Canis lupus familiaris: one gene and its partner. The protein of the gene in region 2 interacts with the protein of the main gene of each other region in a pairwise test. Links are inferred from orthologs where the notes say so. Each region holds a gene or a part of one and is shown on either strand. Other genes may lie near its edges. The genes, in order: CASTOR1 and ZC2HC1A.

Region 1 (4,497 bases), on a different chromosome or scaffold from region 2:
AAAGATGCTGGACCCCAGGACTGATAGAGGGTCCAACCTAAGGCCTGGGTCAGGGGTGTCTCAGCTTACACTACAGGAAAGGGTTGCAGCTGTGGCATTGGGATCTTCCCTGAACATCAGTGAGGGGCACATGGGTATCACAGGCTGCCAGGAACCCAAGATACAGAACAGGGCACGAGTTACAGAACAAGCAGAAGGTGGTAGGCATAGGGAGCAACGGCATGAGAACACAGCTCACCTGTAGGAGTAGAAGAGGACATCGATGAGCGTGGTAGCGATGGCTGGCAGTGTCTCAGGGTCCAATGTGAGGACACAGAAGCGGTTCTGTGGGCTCTGGATGGGATGCACCGTGGGACTGGGCCCTGGGAGGAGGGACCAGGCAGAGAACTACTGTTAGGGCGACTGTGGGCTGGGGCGCCCCCTGGTGGCCAGATAGGGAGGGGCCTGGGTGGAGGCTAGGGTCCTGCTCTACAGGAACCCTCTTCTCCACCACATCTCCCTATCTTGTGAGGCAGTCTGTGTCAGCCGGTATCCCCACGTCCACAGACCAGCTCTCATAAGGGAAGGGCCCCCGTGGAAAGAGGAGGCCCTGCCTAGGTCTGGGTGTGAGGGTAGCCTCACCATGCTGCGAACGGGGAAAGCCATTGCTGGAATCATCCCTGGCAACAGGCACAGGCTCCCCGCCCACTTCCCGGTAAATGTCGAACTCCTGGGATAGCGTGTGGATCACCACGGACAGGTCCTGTTCCCGCACCTGGACCACAAGAGGAGGATGTAACACGAGTCCCCAGGCACCCATGCCCACCCTGCCCCGGAGCCTGCAGAAAACTCACCAGGATGAAGTCCGTTTGGTAAGTGGACAGCATCAGGACAGACACATGGTGCTCTGCCAGTGGTGCAATGACCGAGCGGGCAATTTTGGTGACTCCGGCAGCCTGCACGGTTGCACCACTGTGAGATGACACGTTCAGCACCAGCCATGTGGCCTCAGCCACTTGAAGGAACTCAGATGGGGGTAGCTCTGTGAGCAGGAAGTATATACCAGGTCAGGGCCTACTGGGCTGGCCCCTGCCCCTTGGCTTCCCTGTCTGTCCAGGAATTGGGGGTGGGGGGGTTCTACGAAGGTAATGGCAGGTCTGGAGACTGGGGCTGTCTCCCTCTCCCAAGTTCTGCTCCTGAGCTGCATGTATGCAAGAACTGAGAAGTGCTTCAGGTGCTGGCCTGCTAGGGATGGAAACTTCCCAGTTAAGACTGGAGCTCCAGAGTCAGACAGACCTGGGTTCAAATCCCGGCTTCACCATTTACTTGCTGTTGACCCGAGGTCAATGATTTAACCTCCCGGATCTCAGTTTCCTCATCAGTAAAATGGGATTGAGAGTATACACCTCATGATAGCTTTTCTTAGACTAACAGAGGTTTTATACCATGTGGCACCAGCAGGGGGCGCCAACAAACCAGGTTGGCTGAAGGAAGCCTTTCTCCCTTAGCCGACCCAGACTTTACTGCAGTACAAACGGGGAAACTAAAGTCTAAAAGGCTGCAGTGAAGTATGGGCCGAGCCTCAGTTTCGTGGTCTGCGACTCCAGGCCTGTGAAGAGGGGTCAGGCTGGCAGGAGTAGGAGCCAGATGTCAGCTTCAGGAACCAGGGAGAAAACAGGCTGGTGTCCAGGCCACAGCAGCAGCCAGGAGGCCCCCCAGGTCCTGGACATGGGCTGGCTGCCTGCTCCTGCACTCCTTTTCCAACCCTCAGACTCCTGGAGTTCCCAGACCAGCCAGGGAGGGGGTGACCGGCACCAGAGAGATAAGTGCAGGGAGAAATAATGGCCAGGGGGAATATAACTGCAATAGGAACCTCTGATTCTTGCCCTAAACTGGCCCTGCAACTGGCCTGAGGCTGCCAAGTGCCCTTCACAGCCCTGTCTATAAAGTTTTCATGGGACCCTATGATCAGAACCACAACTATACCCATTTTACGTAAGAGGAAACAAACAATTCAGTGGGAGGAAATGACTTGCTCAAGGGCACACAGCCAGTGTGCAGTGGAGGCGAATTCGAACCCAGACCCATCTGCTTTCAAGGCTCCAGCTCTTGGGACTTTGGATTCCAGGATCTAGTGAGAATCGCAAATAGGGGAGCACGCCACCCTTCCCCGGCCCAGCCCCCACCTTTGAAGCCCTCCTCGTCCACCATGAGCGTGTAATCCTCGGGGGTCTCCGTCAGGCTGAAGAACTTGCACCTGGAGGCGGGGGGAGCATCTTCAGCCTGGGTTGGGCGGAAGGGGCGTGCAGGACTTCGCTCCAGGCGCCCGGAAAGACCCCAGCAGGACGCCTCCCTGCCCCCTCGAGCCTCAGTTTTCTCCCCGGGCCAGTGGGGCGTGGGCTTCAACACCGGAATCACGAACTGTTTTTCGCCTCCCGACCTCTGCGGGAGCTCCCGACCCTCGGTTCCCGGAAGGAGAAGAGGCTCGCCCGCGGCTACGCCCCCGTAGCCCCCGGGAGCATCGGACTTTGGGCGCCCTAGACCAGCCCCTCTGACCCGACGGGAGGGCGTCTGGAAGAAGCTCCCCGCAGTCGCCAGGAAGGAATTGCCCCCATTTGACACCACTTGGAGTTAGGCATTGCTCACCCAGGTTGTTTGCGCCGTAACTGGCTCTGGGACGGCGCCTCACAGGGCCGGATAGGCGGCGGTCCCGGGGAGGGTAGGCCCAAGCCGGATGGCGGCCTCGGGGGGGCGGGGGGGCTTAGGGAGAAGGGCCCTCCCCGACCGCTCCCGCTCGCCCCGCGGCGACGTGAATCCCCGGCCCCGTCCCAGAGCAACAGCGGAGCCCACCCCCACCTGTGCCCCCGAACCCGGGCGCGCACCGGCTGCGGCGGGGCAGGAAGAGCAGCTTGATGAGCGGGTGAGTGTAGAGCCAGAGACCTGGGCGGGCGAGGCTCAGCACCCGCACCCGGTGCTCTAGGATGTGCAGCTCCATCACGGTCCGCGCGGACCCGACCCCGCCGCCAACCAGACCCAGGCCGCCGCCGGGGGCGGGGCGGGGGGGCGGTGCCGGGGGCTTAAAGGAGCCGCTGTGTGGCCGCGTCCACGCCGCCCGCTACGCTGCAGACCCTCCCAACCCCATGCCGCGTCCAGTTCCCTGACGGCCACGCCCCGACGGACGGACGGCCTATCCAGAGTGGCCACGCCTCCTTCCCAAGGCCAGAGCCTCAATCCTCACGTTCCTGCCCGCCGAGCCCGCCCCTGGTGACTCCGCCCCCTCAGCCTTGCTCGGGGGAATCACGGGCTGATCCCACCCCGGGGGGTCCTTCAGGCCCCGCCCATGCCGCGCCCCCTCCCCGGGCTCCGCCTTTTCCGCGGGTCGCCTTCCTCGCTAGGGTCCGAAGCAGGAGGGAGGTCTTGGAATTGTTTCTGTCCTTCAGGCCCCCATATATAGGTCTAATAATTGATAACCTTGAAGCTCCAAAGGGCTGCGAGGCGAACCGGGGCTCAGCTGGAACCAGAGTGCTGCCCAGAAAACCCTGGAGCATGGAGGGGTAGGCTGTGCAGCCCCCGTGATGCTCAGATTCTCTCCCGACCAAGGGTCCTGCCGCCTTTCTCCCCCCCTTCTCCTTATGGAGGAAGAAGGCGCTTACACACTAGGGTACAGATTTGGGGAGGGCCAGCCACTTATATCTGAGCAACATACTGTGGGGTAGGGGAATGAAGGTGGTCAGGCTTATGGCTTGAGACCCTTCAAGACTAAGTGCTTAGGCCAGGGATGCTCAAGGCTGACTTCTGGGGACAGGCCCATGTGTCTGGGGCTCACTGGGTACTCAGATCTCAGACCTGAGACTTGAGCCCTGTTGAAGCCTCCCAAAGCCTGCAGCCTATTAGCAGAACCCAGTTGGCCTGAGCACATGTAAGCTTGCTTCATGCCCATGGAGGCCCTGGGCATTGGCAAATGCCCCAGATCTGAGGCTTATAAGACCAACTTGGGCTCATTTCAACATTAGAATTGGGTTCTGCTCAGTTTTAAGCAGATAATCAGCACACCTAGGCTGGTCCTGTAGCAGGACAGAGCATGCTCTGGGGGGCCCTTGTCTGGCCTGAGCATCCTCAGGCTTCAGATCTGAGGCTTTGAACCAAACAGGTTAAAGCCGGCCTCAGGCCTGACTGGGACCCAGCAGGCCTACACAAGCCTCCTGCCTGCTCAGAAACCTCTACTGTAGGCGGGTGGAAGCTGGGCAGCACCCTCCCTCCCTGGCCTCTCTGGCTCAAGGAACACTGCAGCTGCCACATCCTGGCCTGTCCCCTGGAGAGCCAGGGGGAGGGGAGTGTCCTCAAAGCCTCTCGTGGCAGGTATAAATGGGGTGGGAAACCACAGAGGTGAGGGGTAGAAGGCAGGAAGTGGGTAGCCTGCCCTGATAGACTCACATGACACTTGACCTCCCTAGGCCTCAGTATCCCCAGATGTATCATGACAGGGTGTTCCAGGCCCAGGCCCTGTGATGCCTGAAA
Region 2 (3,730 bases):
AGTTTTATAGTATATATTTTAATATATGTACATAATTATTGCAGTGTATATTTGGAGGAAAGACCTCCATCTTTCCTGAGGGTGAGGTTCCAGTTTTCTCTTTAGAGATGGTTTTGCAGAAGGAACATTGTTATAAATTTCCATTCTATGCCCGTTGTGGTATATGCCTAGTACATTGAGCAGATGGAAAGTGTGGTGGCATTTACTCGTGAAAAATTCTCATAATCGGGACAAATACAATGCCAAAGAAAACATTTAGAATTTAATTATTAACTAAAAGGGATTTTTTTAATCTGAACTAGAAAAATCTTAAAATTGAGATTAAGCAAGCTTTTATGTATACTTAATATTATGTCCTGTTTTCTAAGGGTATGAAAACTATTGACAAGAACTTTGTGTTTCCACTTTTCTTCCTGTACTCCTTCAGGCCAGATGGAGACTATATATCTTCACTTAATGGCGGAAACATTAAAGGCACGGAAGGAAATTCAACAGGACACTTACCAAAATTCTGCCATGAGTGTGGGACTAAATACCCTGTAGAATGGGCAAAGTATTGCTGTGAATGTGGCATTCGAAGAATGATTCTGTGAACAGAGTCCAAAAGAAAAAGCTAAGTCTGGAATTTTATGACTGTTGCTGCTTGCACAGCTAGAGCACTTCCTTTAATGATTTTATGCTAAAATTATTCAAAATACTTTTTTCGGCAATTTTTGGAGCATAATTCTTTGGCTGTGTAATGTGTATGTGTATATATATATATGTGTACATATACTGTATATAATTAATACCTGATAGCCCAAACTGTGCCACTCAAGGAAATATTCACTCATCTGTCAGAAAATAATTTCAAGTGGAATCATTAACTTAGGTATTACTTTTCTGTTGTTGTTAAAGCACATTAAGCATACCTTCACAAAATCAAATGCTAGTGCTCAGCCCTTCAAGCTTTAGGATGATCAAAAAATTTGAGCAAAAAATCAGAACAAACATATTATCGGTGCTTATTTTCATATAGTATTATAGGGTGGGATGCTTGGAATTTTGGAAACAGTACATTCAGTTACAATTAGTTATGTGAGGTCATTTTCCTGAAGAGCTCTTCAACAATTAATTTTATAAATAATTGAAAAGAGAATAAAACCCCTATACTATGTTGTTTTTTAATTGATATATCATTAATTTTATAATTTAGAGATCTTTACTCATTCTTTAAAATGTAATTATGTAATTTCCTTTTCAGAGACACAAGATTAAAAAATATAAATATATCTTATTCCAGTTATAACTGATTTTTTTACCTCAGTGTGTTAGTTGAATGTATATTCTAATTGTGTCTCCATATTTCACTTTTTCCTTTTTTATAAACTTATGTCTGAGGCATTTTAATTTACTTTTTGCAAAGTTTGAAAATAAGAGGCATAATATTTAAGAGGCATGAAATTCCTTAAAAAATTCTACATGTTTATTTCTGTGTCTAAAATTAGAAGAAATTATTTTGATGGATTTTAAAACAAACCACCTCACCCTAATAAATAATTTGGATAATTAATCATTACTACAAGGCATGCAGGTAAGAAGTATTTTAATTTTTTAATTTTAATTTCCCTGAAGTATAGTTAGATGTAGTGATGAGCTGTTTAAGAGACTAATTTTTCTTTCTTATATTTTATTTTTAGTGTTTAATACTAAAACACCTTCACATCACAGTAAAAAAAAACACTGAAAATGCACTGCTTTAATGCACAGCTGACTTATGTAACTAAACATTCACAAAAATTTAATTGTACTTTGACTTTGGCTAACCTACAGCTTTTAATCATTATCACTATCAATGTGACAGTATTTAGTAGTAGATACTTTGATTGTCTGTGCAGCCATGTTCAGTAACTCCTTAGTGGTTTCTGTGGAGTAGAAAGAAAAGAGCTTTGATCTTATAAAGATACAAGCAAATCTTTTATAGGTCATTTCTAGCTTCTCTTTTATGACTGTGAGCAAATATAAGGGTTAATGCAGAAATTTGTGGCTTTTAATTTTCTCTGAAATTTATTTATGCTTATACTTTATAATTGTATTCCTTAGGTTTTTTGTTTGTTTTTTGGTTTTGTTTTTAGTGTTTTTTGTTGTTGTTGTTGTTTTCCATTCAGCAGGGGATATGAACTTTGAAGTAATGGGAATTGTTGTTTTATTTACCTTATAGTTTTTTTCCTGACTTTTCATTAATTTTAAATCTGGTTGTCTTTATTCAGTCATATTGACCTAAAAAGTCCATTAACTACAATAAGCTGTAATTAATTTAGGAGAATAGTGTACATATTAGATTTTCATTTCAATAATATATGTTATTTTGTTCTGTTAACAAATCATATGAAGAACTTTAAACTTTGTTTTCCCTGGAACTGAGCACTATTTTTCTTTTTCCAAGTTTTTTTTTTTTTTTTTTTTTTTAAGACCAGGTAATTTAGCCCAAAGAAGGGATAGATAAATGAACTTAAACAAAATGGCACATGTTTGTTTTTCACAGAATTTTGCAGTAGCCAGTAAATGTTATAATGTACTACATGGAAAATGAGTTGGTAAAAAATCATCCAATTCTAGAACCCAGAGATTATTATAAACAGTAAATAGGTGAAGTACACTTAGAAATTATGAAATATGTTGTGACAGTGTTTTTAAATGCGTTTTTGTTACCTACATATATTATTCTCACATTGATTTGTTGTGCAATAGTTCAGTTTATAAGAAATTTTCCTAGATCTATGCATCATTTATTTTTATTTATTTTTACAAGTATTTGCCAGTGTGGTAGAATAAAGAAATGATTGTTAAGCTTAAATTAAAAATGTAAAAATTGCTTATATATTATTCTGAAAGTCACTAGCTTGAGAAGTAAGATTATTATGGTTGCTGTTGTCTCTTGTTCACTCTTTTTTTTTTTTATTACAAATACTGTCTTCATTTTTGAACCTATTCAATAAAGACATGAAGCAAAAAAAATTCAGGTGGTCTTTATTGATGTCTTAGCTTTTAGCCAGACATAGGTAGAAAGATAAGAGCACACTGAAATAAGAAAAAAATGTTCAAAGCCAAAATACAGATTTTTAAAAATGAGATAGTGCTTTTCATTGGCAATTTTTTTTGTGCCATCATATTTTAAAGAAATTGCAATTATTTTATTGAAGTGTTTTATGACATCTAAATATTACAAATATATTTCATTTCAAGATTTCTAAGAAAAATTTTCTTTGGCCAGTAAAATATAGCAGTTGAAAACATGAAACATTGTGGATATTTCTAATAATATGTAGTTTAATGGCAAAAACTATTGGTTTATGATCAATACTTAGTGATTTAAACTATCATATTTAAAATTTTAAACAGTTGTCGCTAGTAGAAATATCAAATTAGACATGTTTGATTTGTACTCAGGGAATTAAAAATAATAGAAGAGGTACACAGCAACAGAGAGTCAGCAGAAGTCTTGAGTCTTTTTTTGCATTGCAGGTATATGTATTTTCTATGATGGATATATTTTTATTTATTTTTATTTTTTATTTTTTTTAAAGGGGGTTGATAAGTAGTTATCTTTCTTTCTTTTTTTTTTTTTAAGATTTACTCATTTATTTATTATAGACATAGAGAGAGAGAGAGAGGCAGAGACACAGGAGGAGGGAGAAGCAGGCTCCATGCCGGGATCCCGACGCGGGACTCGATCCCGGGACTCCAGGAT

What was found.
Region 1: the proteins of ZC2HC1A (region 2) and CASTOR1 interact in binary tests that used the Homo sapiens proteins (3 or more experiments, as listed by UniProt). The two-hybrid records come from large-scale screens. The link is inferred for Canis lupus familiaris from reciprocal best matches to the Homo sapiens genes ZC2HC1A and CASTOR1.

What each region holds. Positions count from the first base shown.
Region 1 is NC_049247.1:23,849,693-23,854,189, forward strand, and holds the start of CASTOR1 (cytosolic arginine sensor for mTORC1 subunit 1), read right to left. Parts: upstream 3,097-4,497; 5' UTR 2,975-3,096; coding exon 2,862-2,974; intron 2,237-2,861; coding exon 2,166-2,236; intron 1,022-2,165; coding exon 834-1,021; intron 755-833; coding exon 622-754; intron 363-621; coding exon 239-362; intron 1-238. UniProt on the Homo sapiens protein: Functions as an intracellular arginine sensor within the amino acid-sensing branch of the TORC1 signaling pathway. As a homodimer or a heterodimer with CASTOR2, binds and inhibits the GATOR subcomplex GATOR2 and thereby mTORC1.
Region 2 is NC_049250.1:26,926,956-26,930,685, forward strand, and holds the end of ZC2HC1A (zinc finger C2HC domain-containing protein 1A), read left to right. Parts: intron 1-427; coding exon 428-593; 3' UTR 594-2,997; downstream 2,998-3,730.